Caenorhabditis elegans: one gene and its partner. The protein of the gene in region 1 interacts with the protein of each later gene in a pairwise test. Each region holds a gene or a part of one and is shown on either strand. Other genes may lie near its edges. The genes, in order: tam-1 and ephx-1.

Region 1 (12,318 bases):
AGACAATTAGTTAAGGTATGGAGGGTGGTAGAGGACTGGCTAGCCTGGTTTCGCCCGTTTTTCGCACACTGTTTCCCAGTGAAAATCTAAAAATCTAACTTTTTATAAAACCAAAAAACGAATACGTACCAAAATCCCTCTTAAACCGATCTTGTTAAACAGTAAATATTACAGATCCTAACCTTCCAAGTGTGTATTCCCATCTGGTTCTTCCTCGGTGTCTTCTTTCTTCTTCCTTCCTTCCTCGCCATGTACTCCCAATCCACGCGACCTGACACTGTACAGTACGCCATCACGATTTCTTTCATGTTGGCTCCAGTTGTCTCCCCATTTGCATACATCTTCTTTGTACCACATTACTGAAACTTTTGCATTGGCAAGAATGATGTTGCTCCAGCAAATTCATCGATTTGTGCAACCTCGGCGACTTGTGGCAGTGTGGAAATGAAATCTGTGGCTTGATAATGATAATGTACTTGGAACTTATCGAATGAATAAATTGTGAAATATTTTTGTTCGAGTTGTTTCTGGTGATTAATTAATGTTCAAATCACAAACATTTTTAACAACCTTGTTCAAATTCAAAAAACACAACAGGTAAAAAAAATATCAAAAAGCTCGTAATTATTGATAATAGAGTTGCGCACACAAAACCTGGATTTTTTAGAGATTAGAGCATTTTGAGACAAAAATTCATTATTTTGTTGATAGCTGACACATTTTTCTATTTATTTAACATGTAAAACTTTGTGATTTGTCAAAATATGGACTCCTGGAAGTCTTGCCAATTCATAATTCACTCTCACACATACAAAGTTTTGGCAGATTACATATTTTGGGGTTTTCAAGCTTCGAAACAGATTGGTTAGATTGGAGTTTGATATCACATTTTGCTTCTCAGAATATGGGGAATAAGGCATGTTATTCTTAAATTAATTTGAATATTCTTTATGAGCGCTGGTCGTATCCTAAATTGCGAAGCACACGGTTATAAAAATTACCATGTAATACGGTTGGCGCCACTTTTAATTTACGTCAGAACCCCGATCCCCAGATTTTAATTCCCAGATCCGATGTTTTTGTTTTTACTAACAAAAACTCCCAATGATCTTATTTCAGACGATTATATCGTATTTTGATAATCAGACAAACCGTTTTAGCGTGTTTTCAAAATATATAGAGAAGCCAATTCTCAAGGGCTCAAATGTATAGTTTTTGTTTTTAGTTCTTTATTCGCGCCTACTTAAACCACCCGAAACGCTTAAACTACTATTATTCTGATTGATAATAAAATAAGAATTATGTCTGAATGGCAAAAACTCCAAAAATTCTCTCAAATATTCGGAGCTTCAATTTCACTATTCCTAAACTCGTTGGTGGTACTTTTAGTCGCAAAAAAGTCTCCAAAAGCGTTGGGTACATACAAAAATTTGCTTATTCTAATTGCTATGTTTGAAATTATCTATTCGGTTTTAGAGGTTCTTGTTAAACCGGTAAAAGCTTTAAAAAGAACATTCAACAACTTTTTTGTGCTTTTTCAGACTTTTACTTCTTTCGGCTCAACGTTTGTGATGATTGTGAATGTCAGAGATTCTTTGTTGAGCTATGATGTTTTGTTACTTTTAGTTTGTAAGTTTATCAAAAAGTGTATAGACAATCCACCGGGCTGATTTGCCGAGAATGCCTAGGTGAAATAAGAATGGAATATTTGATTTTCAGCCCTGTGTTGCGCATTTTTTGGATCACTGATGGTCATGTTCAGCGTACAGTTTATATATCGATTCTGGGCAGTGAGCGGCAACAATTCAATCAAAACATTCGAAGGAGTCAGAATATTTTGGTGGCTTCTACCATCAATATTAGTTGGAACTATGTGGGGTATTGCCGCGTATTTTCCTTGCTCACCGCGACCGAGTACTGATGCGTTCCTAAGGTAACACCTTCCAGTATACATTGATTTACCCCGAACCTCGTGACATTTTTTCAGAGAATTTATTTTGAAAGAGTTTGGTTTGGAGGTGACAGAGAATGTATACATTGCGCCGTATTTTTATGAAAAAAATGAAGATGGTACTACGGACATTTACTATCCATCTTTTGTGACAATTTTTGCAACAACTGTGACTGTGGTGAGTTGGCAGATTTACGCAAGAATTTTACGAAAGTAAATACTTAAAAAAAAATGATCCGTAATTTTCAATTCTTGTCGTTTTTCTTTTTTGGTTTTTTCCTGAGTTTCAGATTATTAGGCTTAGACTTAGGCTTGGTTTAGGCTTAGTCTTAGGCTTATGCTTTTGCTTTGGCGAAGGCTTAGTCTTCAGTTTTGGTTTAGGCCTTGCTTAGGCTTACGCTTAGGCCTATGCTTAGGCGTAGGTTTAGGCTTATGCGTACGCCTAAGCTTAGGTTTAGGCTTAGGCTTAGCTCAAAACTCAAGACCAACCAGTATGACTCCAAACATAAAGATTAACAAGAATTGAAAAATTTTGAGTTTTAAAATTTCCTGTAATGACATTTTGAATTTAAATAAATATTCTTGGAGTATTTTCAATATTATTAACCGGGTTAACCGGATTATTAACCGGATCAATATTATTAATCGGAATTTTTTTTAAATAAATCTTCTAAATCTTCTTTCAGATAATTTCCGTGTCTGTCATTTTTTATTTCGGTTTTAAATGCTACACATCCCTTCAGAAATTCAAAGAAATCGAATCGTCGAAACACATTCAAAATCTGCAAAATCAATTGTTCTATTCATTGGTGGCTCAAACACTAATTCCATTATTTCTGGTGCATACTCCAGCATTTGCTTTATACACATTTTCATTTCTTCGAATAAATATCGGCTCCTTAACTGGAATTACCACAATAACAACTGCCATTTTTCCTGCACTTGATCCTCTTCCAACACTAATTATTGTAAGAAGCTATCGAAATGCAATTCGAGAATCGATTTCTTCCATATTCAATTCATTCACTACAATTTTCAAAAAGTCACATGGAAATTCGATTTTACCGGTGCAGGCTCGCACGGGAACTGTTTGAAATTTTCCATGTTGTCACGTGCATGTTCAATAAATGCTGAAAACTTTTATGATGAAAACATTATTAGCGAACATACAAAACATTATCTTGCAATCCTTAACAAGTTGAAATATATCAGATGCAAGTAGAAATGAGGCTTACAGAAAAAAGATGTAACGAAAATCGAAATGATAAGTGTAAAGCGTGTAGAGAAAAAAATGATCCGCAAAGAGTTTTAGAAGATACCAAGTATATAAGAAGAAAGAGGAGAGAGAGAGCATCTAGCATCTAAACCGTAGAGAATTCATGACGGTGAATAAAAGGGGAAAGAATGAATGGGGGAAATGTGCTTTAGAACAATAGGTGAAAATTATGGACAAAAATCAGAATAAAAGCATGGATGAGGTGATTAGACGAAATGAGAAGATTATTATTTATAGACGAGTTTGGCTACGAGTTGTTGGAGCAGACGACGAAGGCATTCCATTAGAGGAAGACGATGCAGCAGAAGTACCACGACGCCTAAAAATCGATAATTAAGAAAGTCAATATCGCCAATTTCAATCTCAACTCACTTTGGCGCACGATGAACAGGATCGACTGGTTCAGTTTCCATTTGTTCTGGTTCTTCAGTCTTCGGTTTTCTATCAACCCTTCTTCTTTTGTTTCCAGGTGGTGGAGTCGGAGAATGTGGTGGGCGATTTGATGGACCGGCGGCTCCAGAAGACGTGGATGGTTCATCAGTCGGATTGTTTGAATTCCTGGCAAGCCTGCGAGCAGAGCGTCTTGTTTCAACTTCCGAAATGTGCGCCGCATCTCGTGGGCGCTGGACGCGACGACGAACAACTGAGTTACGAACATGAACTTCTTCTTCCTCGTCGTCCTCTTCCTCGTAAGGCAGATCACCGTCGTCTTCCTCCTCGTTCTCGGCTTCGTGATCCAGTAAATTACGCTCCCGAACATCTTGCTCTAGAGCATCCTGATCCGCTGCTTCTTGGAATTCTATCGCCGCTCTGTGGAGCACCGGCTCAAATTCCTCGTCTTCTATCGCATCGACTTGCTCGCGCATATCATCAAACTCCACAAAATTGTTAATCTGCGGTGGAACATCATCGAATTGTTCTTGTTCTTCAACGTTATTCTCCAGAATTCCATTATTATGGTCCACATTACCATCAACATCTGGCTCTAAAACCACGGGAACTTCTTCGAAATGAATGACATTATTGATATCTCCGGCACGATAATTCTCAACGACTTGTCCATTAACAACAACTTGCTGATCGACTTCCGGTTGTTCTTCCTCCACTTCCTCAACTATCGGTTCCGGATGAAAATTGATTCCAAAATCGCCGGCGCCTCGTTGAGCAACTTGTATCTCTTCCCAATCGGCACCTAAAATAATTTTTTTTGTTTGCGAGAGAACCTTGAAATCATACTCGTTTATGTTTCGACACCACAATAAGAATCAACAATATATTACAATACCAGTATAGTCAAAAATTAGTATTATTAGTAGATCAAAAAATAATTGCATGCTACTCACGAGGAATGTCAGCGGGTGCTGCTGGATCGACAGCATTTTGTACCATTTGATCCTCCGCCACGATTTCATCAGCCAACTGTTGGAATTGTCGATCGTTCATCGCTTGTAGATCAATTTGTTGCAGTTGCTGCTGCTGCTGGATTGGCGGTCTGAACGGTTGCGCACGTGGTTGCGGCTGTTGTTGCTGCTGCACTTGAAGCTGCTGATGATACTGCTGCATCTGCTGTTGATGATTCTGTATACGTTGTGGTGGTGGTGGCGGTGGTCCCTGTTGGAATTGCTGCCCTTCGTTGGGATGACGTTGCTGCTGCTGTTGCTGTGGATGAGCTGGCATTTGCGGTGGCATCGGAACATTGGCATTGTTGTGCATATGCTGTTGGAATGCGATTTGCATGTTTCCATGCATTATATTGTTCATGTTCGGTTGCTGCATTCGTTGATGCTGACGCTGCATCTGATCTTCCACCTGATGCATCGGATGATGTTGCTGATGCATATACATCATACGCGGTGGACCTTGTTGCATTTGATGATGCATCGGTGGAGGATGGCCCATAATGTACTGTCCCGGGCGCCCACCAACTTGAGCCATCATTGGTTGATTCATCCGTTGTGGTTGTGGACCTCCCCAGAGCCGTTGGGCCTGCATATGTTGTGGTGGAGGCATCGCGGGTGGAGGCATCACAAGTTGATGTGGTGGTGGTGGTGGGAGAAATGGAAGATCCTGCTGCTGCTGGACTCCTCGCGCCTGACGATTTCGATTACGAGCCACTTGTGCGAAATGATTGAGCGCGCCTCGTAAATTTCTGGCATTCTGTGGAATAGGTCTGCCTGCTGCGGGAGCTGCGACCTCGTTCACTCGTTCGGCTCCTCCCTCCGAGGCAGGAATCTGATTCACTGAACCAGTAGGCTCGTCGATTTGGAATCCCATTTCTTGCTTGAGTTTCTGAAAATAAAATCCTGAGTGTGGAGAAACGTTTAAAAAAAAAATAAAAATTTGTTTTTTTTTACTTTCTTTCGTGTTCCAGTTGAGCGAAAAAAAAATTGTGGAACAAGATTGTTGTAGATTTTTGTATATTTTTTTAATCAACAAACCTCAAAAGGATCCCAATAGGAATTGAACGCCGATTCGATAGCCGTAAGCATCACATCAACACGTCCACCAGCTTCCGAGTAGACTTTTGAAATTTTTTCCGCCTTTTTCACTTCCTCCATCAGCTCGTCCATTGTCGAATTCTCCTTGATCTTCGAATCGAATGTGCTGAGCATGAACTCGAAGATTTTGATGAGCGAGGTGAGCTTCTGAAATTTTTTTTTTTTTTTTTCTATGAACTCTGAAACTCACATCTAAAGCTTTTGCTTCTATAGTTCCACCAACAGATTGCAGTCTTGGCTTCAAATTTTCAAGCGATTGAAATGCAGCATGTGATGCATCACTGATCTTTTGCTTCATCTCTCGAACATCATCCGACGTCAGCGCCTTCTTCTCAACCAGCTGATGTCCATTGTGCAATCGGATCGCGCATGTCGAACAGATCTTTCGGCCAGTCTCCTCACACTGTGAACAATCGAAATAGACACCCTGACTGAGAACAGCTTCACACTGATTGCACAGCTTGACCAGATGGCGATCCTTGAAGAGTGGAGCAACTTTTTGCACAATTTCCTGAACTCGATAGTTGACAGGTAGGCCATCCGCCGGCACCAGCGTCGGCTTTCTACACTCTGGACACTTGATCTCTGTGGCGCGAGCTTCTGGTCCACGTCTCGGTAGGACTACAATTCCACGCACCATATTCGGATCGTTTGGGTTCATTCGTGGATCTAGACGGGGAAGATCTATGAAATGTGGTTGATCTTCCTGATCGGCAAACCCGCCAAGGCCTCCGAAGCCTGGACCTATATCGTCGGGATGTAGAAGTGGGCCACGTGGGCGGCCGAGTTCTTCTGCCATGTTGGTTTTCACTTGATCTACCTGTAATTTTAAGTTTCATTGGAGATGGAAGAAGTTAAAAATATGAAAATTTGCTAGAAAATAGCAAATTTATTTTGTAAAATAAGGTTGCCACGCGTTTTCTAGAGGTCACTTCAGGTAAATTACCAATTTTATCACGTTTTTTATCAAAAAATAGTTCAACATATAGAAAATCAGTTGATTTATCTGAAAATATCATTTTTCCACATAAAATCTCAAAGAAAGTGCTCAAAATTGGCGAATTCCTCAATGTTTCAGCTGAAATAAATGTTACTTCCCGATAAACCAAGTGATTTTCTATATTTTGGCATTAATTTTCATAGGAAAACGTTTAATAATTGCAGAAAATTGTGAAAACTTTCAGAAAAACATAAAAATCGTTTTTTTTTTCTCAAATTTCAAGAAGAAATTGAACTTTTAAGTGGAAAATCAGTAAAAATATATGAATTTTAGCTCCAAGCGTCTCAAAATCACTGAAAATGTCAGAACAATGACATTTTTTAAGTCGAATTTCGAGAAAAAGCGTGGTTTTAACTTCAAAAACGCTTTAATGACATGAAAATGCCTGAAAATGTGATTTGTATCTCAGAAATTACCTTTTTCTGTTAAAAAAAAAGCAAAAAACTGAGAATTTTGTTTAAAAAAACGGCAGAAAATATAACTTTCCCTTCAAATTTTGACCATTTCGACCTGAAAAAGCTCAAAATTATCAATCAACCTACCAATCTTCCAATACACGTTGAGCATAGCGTGTGTCCGCATCCCATCTGCATCGGTTTATCATAAATGTTGTAGCAAATCGGGCATTCGACGACGTGAGCCCATTGTTGCTGAAAATTCAAAAATTATATTGATTTTAATCATTTTTATTTTCACACAAACTTACATAATTACTGGTACCACTTGTGCCCGGAATGTCCATTATTGCTTTTTATTTATACAAAAATATATTCAAATATTCCAATAAAAATGTGAATAATCGGTTTTGAACCCGATTTGCCCGTCAGGCGGAATCCAAATTACCCTGAAAAAAAATGAGAAAAATCAATAATGTTTGAAAAACGAACGGGGAGAACGCTGTGGGGCGTAGTTGCAAAGAATCAAAAAGTGAGAGAGGAAAACGCACAGAGAGAGACACAGACAAAACAAGCACTTTGCGATGAAAAGGGGCTTTTTGGGTGGATGAGGATGAGGGTGCACGAGAGATGGCGTGTTTATGATTGAGAAAATTGCTGTCTAAATCAATAAAGACTGGAGGAAATTTGTTTTGTGAGTGAGTGATCTCTTTTGATGTTTTCGCTGTGAAAAATACGAAAAGACTAAAAAATTTCGAAATGCTATTTACGAAATAAGAAGAATCTCGCGCTGCAAGAAAAAAAAAAGTTTGTTTTTGTGATATTACGAAAAAAAGACTGAAAAATGTCATTTTCTGGGCAAACACACGAGAAAATATTGTAAAATAATTTTTTTAAGTTGTATTCAGGCATTTTATTGATGAAAATTGATGATTCATCGGCGGAAAAGTGGAAAAAATCGGAGAAAAAGAAAAATAAAAAATGTTTATTAATCAACCGTAGTTTGATCATGGCGAGACCCAAATTATAAATTGGGTCATGCGCCTTTAAAATGTACGGTAGGGTTTTGCGATTTTTTTTTTGAGTTTTGTGTTAAAAATCGTATTCTATTTTCAAACTGAATTCAAATTATTGAATAAATGAATTTAAAACATACTTCCAAAATTTTTTTTTGTAAAAACTATGATTCATTGACGAAAGTTGGAGAAAAATAGATCAATTTCGGCTTAATCATCAACCGTAGTTCAGATCGTGGCGAGAACCAAATTCAACAATGGTCCATGCGCCTTTAGAAATACAGTAGTTTTTGGCAATTTTTTGAAAAATTGCGAGATTGAATGAATAAAAACCCAGAAAAATAAGAGAGCCGACGAAAATTAAAGTGAGAAAAGAGTGGAAAGAAGAAGAAGAGTCGGGTCATATATTCATCAAATTGTGCGTGCATGAATCAAGTGAAAAGACAACGCGTCTATTCCTCGCTTCGATTGTTTCAGGGGGGACCACGATAATAGGATAATAGGTCTCGCAGTTGGAAAGAAAGAAATGGTGACGAAAAACGAAGACGGAAAATCGATGAGAATGGTTGTCTGTCATATGTGTATGTGTGTGTGTGTGTGCACCGGGATAATCTCCACCACTTCTCTATTGGTTTACACCGAGACGGGGGGAAGAAAACGAACCTTCCCGTCCGGCAGACACATCCCACGGGGCGGCAGCAGCCACCGAGGGTCATGATTATTTTTCATTGAGCTCTCCGCGCGCGAGCCGTGGTGGCTCGGATTAAAGCAACCACCACACAGCTGCTCGACAGAGAGCATGACTTCCTTAAAGACAAAAGGTGTTCGGTAATTGCGAAGAATACATAACAGCAGTTGGACCAAGACACCGGAGGGAATGGAATGCAAATTGAAGTGCTGGTGGAGGCTCAATTTAGATGATTTTATGGCGAGAGGAGAGAGGTTGCAGGCGTCGAAGAAGAGGCAACTAGAGAAAAGGATGGAAATTTAATAAAAACGTTGTGAAGTGAGAAGAAGAAGAAGACCGATGATGACAGACGAACGAATACCTCGGCACCGTCGCTCTGATGTTTGACAAAAACATCTGTGTGCTTAGAGACGCAGAATAGGTCAAATCATAATATTGATTCTTATCGTCGTCTTTTACGTTGTTGAGAGAGAGAGAGCATGTTTCTAATTCCGCTAGGAAAACATTTCAGTTGACAACAATACTGATGCAATGTTATTATTTTGTGATCACATTGATTACACATCAATAACACAATTGCGTAATAGCTTTTAAAAAGGAAAATAACAAAGAGAGTGGCATTGTGCAACAATACAGAGTGTATGTGTCTGGAGACTTGTGTGGTGAGGATGGGGGTACAAAAATTTCCATTCCACTCGTCTTTCTAATACCCTCTAGGGGTCTCTTTTGACAAAATGCATTGAAAATGATAAGACATATGCGATTTGTGTGTCAAAACATAATATTGAATGGGATTATTTCTTGGTTGAATATTGAACAAAAAAACGATGATGACTATTGCATCAGAGAAGAACTGAGTGGAAATTTTTTTGATAGTCTATCACATGTGATTTCAGATAGGGAATGATAAGACAATTCCACACCTGAAAGGAATAGGGAATTGAGGTCAGAGTTCAATTAAGTGATTGGGAAAAACTGCAGAGGTTTCAGCCCTTGAAAAGTTGAAAAATGACGTGAAAATATATTTGAATCAATAATTTGCAACGGGATTTAACTTCATGCGACATTTGCGACAGACAGCTCCGGGAAATTCAGATTTTTCATCAGATATCTCCCAGGACCATTTCTAATTATAGACATCGTCACCACCACCACAACGACGTTACAAACAATTAAAATAGGTTGAAGGTCGGTACAGGCCACCTTACCGATCATCGTCACTCTCGCTTGAAGGAATTAGTAGTGAAATAGGGCTGGTTCTGATTGTTGTGACTAAGAATGACGAGTACGAAGTGAAAATGAAAATGTTATTTCGTTTTGCGATTAATTTATAAATAGAAGGATTATATAGAGAAGGTGGGAGGTGGAGTAGAGTGGGAAAAATAGTTGGAAACCTAAACCTAGTGACCATGAAAAATTAGGAAATCAGATGTTTAAATAGAGGAAAAAATTGAGAACTCTGAGGAAGAAATTCTCGAGTTCTGTTCTTCATCACAGCCGGTGGTGTACACACTATAACAAAAACTGTAATGTCATCGAGACAAGAACTCGAGAGAGAGGAGATTTAGAGAAAACCGGGGCAAAGGGAGTGAGAGATATGAAGAGTGATAAGATGTTGGAGACGTGAAGAAGTAGAGAAAGATTGGGACTGGTCAGATCTTGGGGGAGGAGATGAAATGGGAAAGATAATTACACAGTAATTGGGGTTGTAAACTCACACATTGGGTTGTGAGGGGTGAGAATTTGGAATAACTGGGAAATCATTAAAGTCGATTTTTTGAGAAACTGGAGCCAAATATCTCAAATCTCAAAGATCAACGAAAAATATGTTTTTGGCTCCAATTTCCTACGGCAATCAAAATCCAAACTCTTCTTATAATCCCACAAATATAAGAAAAGACATAAAATAGCTATTTCACAAGCGAACCAGACAGGAAATTGCAGAGGAAAATGACAAATGATTGAGGTTTATATGTTATGAAAAGATTGCTGAAGAGAGACGCCTGAGAAGAAATGAATTTGAATAGAATTTGGAGAACGAGACGAAGAATACCACCACCACCAATGTTGTATAGTTCCGCTTTCGCTATTGAAATTGAAATTAGCCTGCGGTTCTTTGGGTTTTGAACTATATGTGTGAAAGGGGAAATATAAACGTTTTTTTCAGTTTCGTTTCACCACGTGGTGTCAGAGTGTCTCTTTTCGGCTTGATCTACTTAGATCTACAAAAAATGCGGGAGAAGAGAAGCAGAGTTCTCATCTGATTTCGCATGCTTAAAAACGTGCTGACAGCACATTTTTTTAGGCAAAAAATTCCCGCATTTTTTGTAGATCAAACCTTAATGGGACAGCCTCGCACCACGTGCATCACAAAAATTGAAAAAGGTACCAAAAAGTTCCCTGTTTCACTGTTCAACTTTGACAGCGAATATCTCAGTTGCCATTTGTTCTATTAAAAAAATGCCAACTGGCAAAATATTTGTTAGTTCTTTTTCTTTAGATTTGCAGTTTAGAGTTTATTGATATCTCTCAAATGAACCGAGATATAAGCTTTTATAGTGAAGTAGTTGGGTGCAACACGAGTATACGGTAGTGTGAGATTATACAGCAACCAACATCTTTCGGGTTCCGTTCACCAAAATTTTTGGGAGAGGCTTGCATACGCTCTTTTCACACCAAGTTTATGCAAAGTCACATTATATGTAAATTACTACAAGTGGAGTAATTTACATACCAACAGAAAATGCAATTTCACTCTAAAACCGAACCTAATTTCAAACAATCATGGGAAATGCTATTTTGTACTTTGATGAAATTTTGAGTGGAACATGCCGAGGACATTTAGAAATTTCACAGGTTTATGAAGTTTTAATTAAATAATTCAAGGTATTTTGAACAACAGGTGGTTCACAAATATCCAATTATTATAATTTCATAGCAATTTTATTGTTATTTCCCAACCTAATCCCTATTAAAGAGTCCTGTCACATATCCCAAAAACAAAAACAACGATGGTGGCTCACTAAACAATTAGAGCGTACATGGTGCCTCCCATATGCCTTTATATGGGTGTTAAAGAAAGGAGGTCCCGAGACAATTGCACGTAATGAATAAATTAGATCTCGTGGGTCGTGGGTGATGGTGACCAGATAAAGAGACCGACATTACAAATAGAGAAGAGAGACTTTGGATTATTCTCGTATTATTCGACCATTATTATACTTGTTTGAGAGTGAAGGGTGTCAAATGAATTGATTGTGAAATTCACAATGTGAATTGAAGGCAGTATACTACTTCCAATTAGTATTGTTCTAGAAAATGTGAGACCACTGACAATAAAATTATTTGAAAAAAAGGGAGCTTATTTTGAGAAAACTTTGGATTTTGAATGTTTCGAATAATGGGAACCTTATTCTTAAAATCTTTCCGACACACACAATTAAGCATAAGCCTAAGCCTAAGCCTAAGCTTCAGCCTAAGTCTAAGCACAAAGC
Region 2 (10,541 bases), on another chromosome or scaffold:
TTAAATATTTTCAGAATTTATTTTAAAGATTAAAAAAAGCTCGAAATTTCAAAATTTCGAAGTTTTTAAAAATGTTAAATTTGGAAAATTGCAATAAATTTTATTTTTCATATTAAGTTTTTACCGTTTAGTTCTCGAGAGAAACCTACACTTCAAAAGTTTGAAATTATGATTTCTTGGTCGACAGTAACTTTTTTATGCCTACCTATTGCCTGCCTACTGCCAATTCGTGTACTTTGGCAGCAGGTAGGCATGTAGGCACAAAGAAGGCCTTGGGGAAAGTTCCTGCAAACCTGAACATAACTTTTATCAAAACTTTCCTGTACAAACCACCCAAGTTTGGCCAATTGCGGCCGTCAACTTCAAACTTTTTTTCCTTTCAGTGAATGTGTGTTTTTTGACCGTACAATGACCACTTTCACCGAAGTGTAATCAGTATGTTTTCCAAATTGAAACTGGTTTGAATGCAATTGGTACTGTCTTGTTGCTGCCCTATCTCCCACACTGAATCCCTGATTTCTCTTTTCAATTGTTCAATGGATTTTACAAAGTACTCTTTAAATTATGTCGTGTGATGAGATAAGTTGACAAATCTTGACCTTATTAATTATAAAATTTTGTTGTTTTTTTTAATTTTAAGTTGAAATGTTTTGTGTGGAATGTCCATAATTTTATCCTGATTTTGAAAACAAATTGTCAATTTGTTCTGGCAATTTATAGTTTAAAATGCGGTAAATCTCAAATTGACACTTTAATTTATATTTGCGCTTTCATCGTTTGTTTGTTTGTTTATTCGAAATTTGATAAAATAGCAACAAAATGTAATACATAGAAGATCATAGGCTTAAGCTGTCTAACTCAGTCTGCTCCAGGCCTGCCACAGGCCTGCCTCAAGCATGCCTACCTAGATAATGTTTACCACTTTACATTCACTTGTTTACGTGAACTTTGACCGTAGGTACCTGAAAAGCAACGAGGCAGATGTAGGTCGCCTTATTAGATACAGGCAAGCCTAGGACCAAGGGTGCGCGGCAATTGCCGAACGGCAATTCTACAAAATGAGACGGTTGGGCATGTTTCCCCGATCTTTTTTATTAAAATTTGATGATACAATATAGAAAAATATTTTCTCTATCTGAAAATGACTTTTATTTGACTTGAAACAACCGAGAAAGTGTTCAAAAATTGTCCGAAAGCTGAAAATTGCCGTCAATTTTTCGGAAATTTTTATCGGCAATTTTCAACTTTCGGACAATTTTTGAACACTTTCTCGGTTGTTTTAAGTCAAATAAAAATCATTTTCAGATAGAGAAAATATTTTTCTATATTGTATCATCAAATTTTAATGAAAAAGATCGGGGAAACATGCCCAACCGTCTCATTTTGTAGAATTGCCGTTCGGCAATTGCCGCGCACCCCTGCCTAGGACGCCTTAGAAACAGGCAGGTGAGGTCACCTCGAAGTCAACCAGGCGTCGATGTAGGTAACCTCTAAGGCAAAAGGGCACTTGTAGGTCGTCTAGAATACAAACGTAGGTAGGTCTGAAGGCAGGTAGGCGTAGGCCTGCCAAAACTGTCTGTATTTTTTTAAAGTAACTGTGTTCTGAAAATTCTTCAAAAAATGAGTATGAGAATGCCTAAAAGACTTAGAAAATTTCAAAAATATTTTAAATTCCAAAAAAGAAAATTTCAGAAAGTTCCCAATATTTTTCTTTTCCGAATCCTCGCTTTAAAATGGGCGATAAAAATCTCCAAAACGTTTTTTTTTCTTTCAAAAAGTTCAATTTCTCGCAATTTCCCGCCTCCCATATATCTTGTCACCTTTGGCACCGAAGCGAGCCGCTTCTCTCTCAAAAGTCAATTGATATATTTAATAGAGTGCAGCGGTAAAATCTTTACACATTTCGTACGAGAGCACTTGGCACTGGGACATTGTAAATTGAACAGGAAAATAGAAATAAAACTATTATAGATTCGCAACAAATAGTCCAATTGACCATCAAATTTTAATACAATAACCACCGAATTGTCTTCCAGCTGACTGAGCACCTGTACGGAAACGATTTGATTCTTTTGAGAACGAGGAAAAGGGAGTGTGAACTTGTACATTTGCATGTCGTACTACTACATTTCCTTTCACTCTCTAAATCTCTCGTCTCTTCTACTATAAATCCCTTGAGGGTTATGCAGAAAGACCAATCCCCCCTCTCACTCGAAACCTCTCTTTTACACAATCGGCGTGGGCTGTTTACTTTTCATTAGTATCAACAACAGTGTTTCAGTTTTCGGTTCTTTTGAACTTTTATTTTGATTTGGAGAATATTTAGTGCAAGCACGTGGTGTCAGGTTGCCCCATTACAATTTGATCTACGAAAAATGCGGGTAATTTTTTCCCAAAAAATGTGACGTCAGCACGTTTATATCCATGTAAAATCAGTTGAAAAGACAGCGTCTAAATTCCCGCAATTCTTGTAGATCAAACCGAGATGGGACATCCTGACGCCACGTGGGCAAGCTTATTAAGCTAAATTTGCTTTTTGAAAATTTTTAGAATTTTTCGTTTTTTTAAGAAAAAAATTTGACATTTCTTTAGACATTTGTCTAAAGAAATTATGATACAATTTTTAGTTAAAAAACCCGATTAATTTCCAAAAAAAATTCCAGAAAAGTATAATCCCTCTAGAAATCGATAAAGTAGTCAAATATCTGAAATTGTCTTCTTTCGGAGCTAGCTTGAATATTTTTGTCAAAACCTCAAAACTTTTCAGAAAAATTTACACAATATTTTCGTACCTATAGAATTTCCAGGAACACCTAGCAGAATTTTTTAAAGTTATTTTGATCAACTAATAATTCAAAAAAAAGTTCAAAAACCGGAAAGTGTTCGAAATCATTCAAGAATGTGTGTTGTGTATCTGTGATTGTGCAAATAGTCTTTTGTTACGCTCGTTTGAAAGTTCAAATATTTGATTCTGTGTGGGAGGTCACGGGAGCACAACACCTTTTAAAATAGTAGCTAGAAAACTAGTTTTAAAACTTCTAAACTTTAAAAAAATCTGAAAAGTTCTAGTTTTGACCTTTTTCAAATACCAACCAATTTCACTTTGTCATGGCTTTTCCGTATGTGTCACCCTTCCCCTCGGAACAATATTACTCTCGACTAGCAAGCTGTTCATCAATCAAATTTCATGAGTTATGAGCGTAGATGCCATTCTGCGCTTTGTAAATACGTAAAATTCAAGGGTTAGCTTTTTATGCGATTTATACTTTTTTGAAAGTTTTGAAAGTCTGAAAATTTAGCAAAAATTCAAAAAGAAGGATATGCTTAAAGCCCTAAGAATTTTTCGTTTTAACCTTGAGGATTGGTCGAAATTTAATGAAGGTCGAAGAGAAGTCTGAAATTTTGGAATTAGATACTTAGATACTGGAGACGAGCCTAAGCATAGTCCTGAGCCTAAGAATAAGCCTAAGCCTGAGCCTTTAGACTTTCTTGTGAAGCCTGAATCTAACTAGTAACCCTCCTAATAAGCATGAACTCTGAGGTAGAAGTGGTGCTCTTGAAGCATAAAAAAACAAAAAAACTCAAGTGCAATATTGCAATATCCATTTCGTAGTCCTCTCGAATGTCACTCACCCATCAACATTGTGCTCGCGGTCAGTAAATGCAAATTGCAATCCTTGCCTCCCGTATGTTTTTCACACATTTTCCTTATCCATCTGCGTCTCCTCGTCTCCCGATTCTCGCGCATTGACCACCACTGACCATGGTCTCGCAGGAGAAAAGGCGCTTCCTGTCGTGTGTTCTGCTCATTGTGCAGCACTTTTGAAGATTTTGCAAAATGCATATTTACTAGGAGAAGCTTTGTATAAAAATTTCACTTACCATTTAACCTCACTTCAGAAAAAGAAATGTAATTGACCCCCATTTTTCAAGGTTTCTTTGTTGTTAGAGTCTATTGTACTAACTTTTTTTATTCTTTTAAGTACTTCACACATTTCTTTGGCAAATTGGAAAAATGTTGAAAAGGGGGTCTGTATTAAGTGCTGGTCTGGAAGTAGCCATTACATAGCTGAAGCAAAGTAGCCGAGACGGCTAGGTCGACAGACTAGTTCTGTTCTTTCTGAATAAGCTTTTAAGAAATATTTTTATAGTTTGCTTCTAATTGTAATGGCGCTCGGCAGGCACTAGGCATGCACTAGGCAGACACTAGGCAGGCAGAAGGTAGGTTCTAGGCAGACATTAGGCTGGCACTAGGAAAGCACTCTGTAGGTCGTAGATAGGAAGTGCCAAATAGGCACTAGGCAGGTGCTAGGCAGACACTAGGCAGGCACTAGGTAGGCATTAGGTAGGCCCTAGGCAGACACAATGTAGGCAACCCCTCCTCGGCTTATCATTCCCAAAAGCTCTTGAAAAGGAAGATGTTTTTTTCATCATGAAAATTTTTTCCGCGATTTTTTGGGGAAGTGTGTATGTGGTGCGCAGTATAAACATTCGCCCCAATCATCATCAATATTATTGTGCTCTTTTTCCCACTTGCTCTCTCGGGGGGCTCCACTCACACATTCAAATGTTGAATCAAGCGATTAACCCATCGAGAGTTGTTGCATGCATCTCCTCTGTTTTCTTTTCCTCTTTTTCTCGCTTTTTTTGAAAAAAAAACTCTATTTTTAGATTAATAAAACATAATCAAATAAATATATGAAATTTACAGTGTCTGGGGGTAATCTGAGCCAAAATCTAATGTCCAATGCACCATCAACGACGACATCAGAAGCCCAGAAGATCGCGACAACGACGACGACGACGAAAATGCGATTGCCCAGTGTTAAGGAACTTGCCAAGAGGTAAGACAGCATTTTTTATAGGATTTTGTAGAGTGTAGAGATATTTTAAGGTTACTGTAGAAGTGGTACTATAAGGTTTTTGGGGTACAGTACTGCAGGGTAGTAGGGTATAGTAGGGACACTGTGGGGGTACTGTAGGAGTACGGTAGGAATACTGTAGGGTACTGTAGGAGTGATATAGAGGTATTGTAGAAATACTGTAGGGTGGACTACTTCAGGGGTACTGTAGGTACTGTAGGAGTACTGTAGGGGCAGTGGGAGGCTTTCACAGATGTAGTGCCGGTAAGGGCACTGTAGAGGAACTGTAGGAGTACTGCAGAAGTGTTGTAGGAACCTGTTCGACTATTTTAGGAGTACTGCATAGGTACTGAAGGGACAAAATGAGGCTTTTACTGTAATAACATCTGTAGTACCAGTTTAGGGTACTGTAGAGGAACAAATTGGAGTACTGTATAGGTATTGTAGGAGGATAACTGTATGGGTACTGTATGAGTACTCTAGGATAACTGTAGGGGTACTGTAGGAGTACTGTAGCTTTTTCCCACTTTGTACGTGTCATCGTTGCTTATTTTCAGCCAAACTTTTACCAAACATTTATTTTTGAAAAACTGTCCCCGCCTGCTTGTTGACACATAGATTCTATCCATTTTTTCAAAAAATATTTATTTAAGTTTAATTTTGGCAGCTCATATCTAAGTTGTCATAGTTTTTTATCAAAAAGTTCTTAACTGAGAAAATCTTGGTTTTAAATTTTCCAATAGTTTTGCAATTGACCAATTTTGGATATTTTTGAATTTCACCGGAATATACATAAGCTGCCAAAGTGTAGAACACAAAATTTTCATACCAATAGAATAACCAGCTAGAAAATTAACTTTTCTCTTGTCCTATGCTTCTTCGTTTAAAAAAAAAGTTTTTTGTTTATATGTCTGCAATTCAATTTCTGTATGATTGTCAAACAAATACTACTTTTCCTCCTCCTTCACACACTCACTCCAACACAGTTGTTCTCCAGCCAACAATAGCAGCACATTACCCTTCGGTTGATTGACATAATATATTGAAACCGGACAGGAAGAAAAACGGTTGAAGAAGTAAAGAGAGACCGAGGGCGTCGTCATTTCTTCCAGAAGCTTCTTCGTGGGAAAATTGTTGGAGTTTTAGAGATGGTTCGGAGAAGTTTGGCAACTTTTTATGAAGTTTTACTCTAATATCAGCTCAACTTTGAAAGCTTAAAAAAGCATTAAAAATGTTCAGAATCTTTTGGAAACTTTCTCCAACTTTCACCCAAACTTCAACTTTAGGATGTATATTATTTGGAATTTACCATCTCCTAGCTTTAGCGCCTGCCTGCCTAGGAACCTACCTACCGCATCCCTCTCTTCATTAGTACATCTCTGAAGAATTTCCAAAATGTGTATGTCTCCCCGCTCCCCCTGCCTTATCACCATCATTTTATTATTATTGTTATCAAATATTCCCACCACGCCTCATCACTGACCACTCCTTTTTACGATATGGTCATTTGGAGAGATTGTTAAACAATTTTTGAGTTTGCCGAAACGTTTCGTTTTTTGTAGTATTATAGAATGTAAAATTTAAAAAAAATTGCGCCAACCAATCAGCGACGTTAGCCACGCCTATTAGAATACGCTGATTAGTCGGCGACTTGTTGAATTTGCAATTTTAAAATTGATCTTCCAAAAGCTATTTCCGATTTCCAGATTCGAAACCAGCACAAGCCGAATTGAGCACCACAAACCGGTGATCTCCAAACGAATCGGCAAGTTCCGGGTAGTGGAAAACCTTCACGAGTAAGTAATTTTCCTCTTCAGTTTTGCTCTTAATTTGCTTGTTTTTCAGGCCGTGCACATCACGAGTGCTACGTGGAAGCGCCATACCGCGACGGAAAAGTTCGTTGAAACGACGAACGCGGAGCAACTCGGAGCTCGCCGTCCTGGTCACATCTTCTGAATTTCGGAAGAGCAAATCCACTGGCGACTTTTCACCGACGGGTGCCGGAGCATCGGGTGCTCCAATTGTGATAACACCGCTACCTGCACCTAGATTACGGTAGGTGAAATGAGGGGTACTGTAGGAGTACTGTATGACAACTTGAGGGGTATTGTGGATTACTGTAGAAGAACTGTGGGGGTACAGTAGGGCTACTGTAGGGTATTGTGGGATACTGTAGATTAATGTAAGATTACATCGTGGGTACTATAGGAATACTGTAGGTATTCTGTAGGGGTACTGTAGTAGTACTGTAGGGGTACAGTAAGGTTACTGTAGGGTATTGTGGAATGCTGTAGGAGTGATGTGGGGTACTGTAGGGGTAATTTTAAAAAATAATGTTTTTAATCAAAGTTTTAAAGTTGTTCTGAAAATTTTCAGTCTAAAACTTTATTTTAAATAATTTAGTTTGAAATACTATACAAAAATTGAACTTTTGGCAATTTTGAAGCTTTATAAATTTTACAACAATAATCTTTTACAACAATATCTTCAAATAAAATTTCAAAAAATTCAAATTTAAAAATTTCAATTCAATTTCTCTTCAAAACATTTCAGTTTCCAAAACCTTCCGGCTTTCAAAATCTTGATTAAAGTTTTGAAAAGTTACTTTTTTTACTTCAATAGAATACAATTTTATAAAAATACAAAACAGACAAATTTTTAAATAGTTCTTTATAAATAAAGCAAAATTTCAATGAAACCACTTCGAAAAACCATTAAAAATTTCAAACAAAAAACTAATTTCTAAAAAAAACTTTTTTTTTCAATTCCACCCACAGTGACTCATTTTTCGAATGTTTCAAGGTTCTCTATGATTCACGAATCAGAAATGTAAATAAGAATCCCTTTCTATTTCAGTCTTCAAACAACAAGCATGATTGTTGAAAGTTCCCCTTCTCCATCTTTCCATTCCAAAAAAGATGGTCACCCAGTGTACGAGGAGCGGTGTCGAGTGTCCTTAACAATTCCAATTTCTTCGTCAGAAGATCTTTCCGCTGTATCTCCACCACCACCTCTACCATCTGTACCTCCGTCTAAGGAGAGGATCAAGAGGATTCCTTCCTACCTGAAGCCTACTCCCGCGCCGAGGTCTATGTCTGCCACGCTGCCCAGGGCTCGTCTGAAGACCCCACCACCTCCACCCCCAGTTACCAATCAATTTGACACCCTGCCGGTCAGTTTCCGGAGCAGCTCAACATCCTCCAGCACAGGAGGTCTCCCGAGAATCCCGAATATCCCCGTCCCAGATGTCCCTTTTATTCCACTGGATGACGACAACTGTTACGATGAAATTATGCTGGTCACGCCATCATCAAACACATGTATACCTACACATCAACGTCTAGAATCCGAGTACACCTATGAATCTCAGTCTACCGACTTTTCAAGGCCGGAGCCTCCTAGAGCCTCCGGGTCAGAGCCCAATTCAAGCAGACGGGCTTATCCTCGGGATGAGGAAATCTTTGATGAAGCTGAAGAGGAGCTTCTGGAAGAACAAAGATTTCAAAAAGTGCCGGAAATCAAAGAGCGCTTCCTTTCCTCAACTCTCCAAAGGAATCCAAAATCCTCGAAAAGGATGAGCTCAATGGAGCTGGAAAAGCTGTTCAGGTTCAAGAGCGAGTTGCAGCTTAATTTGTCGAAAAAGGTTGGTGCTTTGTTTTTTTTGTTCCTTTTTGGGTATTCAGAAAACAAAACAAGAAAGACAAATCAAACTAATTCTGATTGAAGGTTAGCCAATTACGGCAGAAAGTCGGCGACAAACAAGCGAAGAGACGATCAAAGTGCCACGTCAGTGTTGATCTACTGGACACTGATTTTAGTTCTATGGTGAGTTTTTTGAGAAAAAATATCCAGAAACTAAAAAAATTTATTTAAAAAAATTTGAAGTAAGTTTTTTGAAAATAATTTCTGAAATTTCTAGGCAGTTTTTTAGAATTATTAAAAAGGTTTACTCTAAATTTTTTGAAGCAAATTTTTGTTTATTGCATTTTTAGTCAATATTAAAATTTTTTTAATAATTTCCAGGAATTTGATTTTTCATTAAAGTCTATTTTTTTCTGAAATTTCAAGTCAGTTATTTCAAAATTCTATAATTTTTAATTGAAATTTTTATAGATATTCTGTAATTTTCAATCAAATTATAATATAAAAATTTTTGGAATTTTTTGTCAAAACTTTAAAGTTTTCATGACACCTCTGATTAAATTTTTTACCTGGAACTTGAAATTTCTGGTCAAATTTTTTACATGTTTTCTAAAATTCCCAGTTAACATTTTAGTAATTTTTTTAAATAGAAATAGTAGAAAACTCCTTAGATTTTCTGAATTTTCTGGTCATAATTTTTTTGGAGTCTATGAACTTTAAGCCAATTTAAAAACGGTTTTTGAGTTTTTCTGTCAAAGTTTTAAAGATTTTTTTGAGTTTTTCAGGAAACATTTTTAAATGATTTTCTGAATTTTTTGTTGGATTTTTCGGTTGACGAATGAATTTCCAAAGTAAAAGTATCCAAAAAATTAAATTGAAATTTATGTAATTTGTTTAGGCAAATTCCGGAATTATTTCCATTTCCCTTTTTTCACATTTATTTGTTGTAATTTTTGAATTTTCCAGATGTCAAAATCGTCTTGCGTTGACAAGCCGTTCCAGGATGACGATCACATTTATGGGGATGATTGGAGCAGTGATGATGATGATATTTATCACGGTAAGCTTTTGCTAGTTTACAAATTCTTTTTTCCCCTTTTCCCTTCACTGGTTACCTCCTACCATGTCCAATTGTTGAAAAATCATGTCAACGTAGGAATTATGATCTTAGTTCCGGTGGTTTTGATTTCATCCTACTATTCACAAATGCTTACACTAAATCTATTGTCAGGGAGGTGTCGTAAGCCTACTGTAATACTAGGAATTTGCTTTTTTTGTAATTTTTTTTTTCGGAAAAAAGCCATGCAGAAATTCACAAAATACTCGTATTTCCAAGATGGAAATTGAAAACCTAATAATGGAATTATTCTCGAAAAATGTTCAAATTTTCTGTGCACGTTTTTTTTGTTTTTTAAATGATTTTTTAAAATTAAAATTGGCATAGATAAAATCTTTTGAATTTTTCAATGTCCTCAAAAATCCCGAGCTCTTCTAAAGCATTGGCTAAATTTTGTTAATTAACAACTTTTTTGCAAGCTCATGGTTGGAAAGTTTCGAGCAGCCGACACTTCACTGGTTTATATTTCATAATTAAATTTCTCATAGTGAGTAGGCGTCAATGCCTGCCTGCCGATTTTCTGTTAAACTCTGGTGTTTGGTACATGCTAGCAGGCACAAACTGCCTAACTTTGAATTTTACAAATTCCAATTAAAATTGGTACTCAAGAATGCCTTTTGTTCAACATTTGTTCAAACTTTTCAAATTAATTTTTCTCGAAACAATTGCAACAAATTAGCCAAAAAAAATAGTCCTTAAACTGTGCTAGATGATTTGAAAAATTGGAAAAAATCCTTTCAAATTTTAAAAATTTCTAAAAAACTATATCTACATATTTTTTAACTGCCTCGAAAAAGTTTTTCAACTATATGCCAAACCCAGATTTCCAGCTATTTCTTGCCCTTCCATCCCCTCTGAATCCGACTAGTAGTACAATCGGAAAACGAATAGTCACACACATACACCCAGAGACACACAAC

What was found.
Region 2: the proteins of tam-1 (region 1) and ephx-1 interact in a two-hybrid assay, tested with the Caenorhabditis elegans proteins (one large-scale study listed by BioGRID).

The regions. Positions count from the first base shown.
Region 1 is NC_003283.11:4,955,528-4,967,845, forward strand, and holds tam-1 (RING-type domain-containing protein), read right to left. Parts: upstream 7,576-12,318; 5' UTR 7,468-7,575; coding exon 7,432-7,467; intron 7,376-7,431; coding exon 7,264-7,375; intron 6,542-7,263; coding exon 5,916-6,541; intron 5,873-5,915; coding exon 5,666-5,872; intron 5,517-5,665; coding exon 4,571-5,516; intron 4,420-4,570; coding exon 3,600-4,419; intron 3,547-3,599; coding exon 3,459-3,546; 3' UTR 3,076-3,458; downstream 1-3,075. Other genes in the region: str-208 (Serpentine receptor class r-10), read left to right, coding at 1,302-1,493, 1,542-1,629, 1,720-1,933, 1,988-2,129, 2,638-3,045.
Region 2 is NC_003280.10:4,000,174-4,010,714, forward strand, and holds the start of ephx-1 (SH2 domain-containing protein), read left to right. Parts: upstream 1-4,740; coding exon 4,741-4,844; intron 4,845-6,568; coding exon 6,569-6,658; intron 6,659-6,707; coding exon 6,708-6,917; intron 6,918-7,718; coding exon 7,719-8,505; intron 8,506-8,588; coding exon 8,589-8,687; intron 8,688-9,470; coding exon 9,471-9,564; intron 9,565-10,541.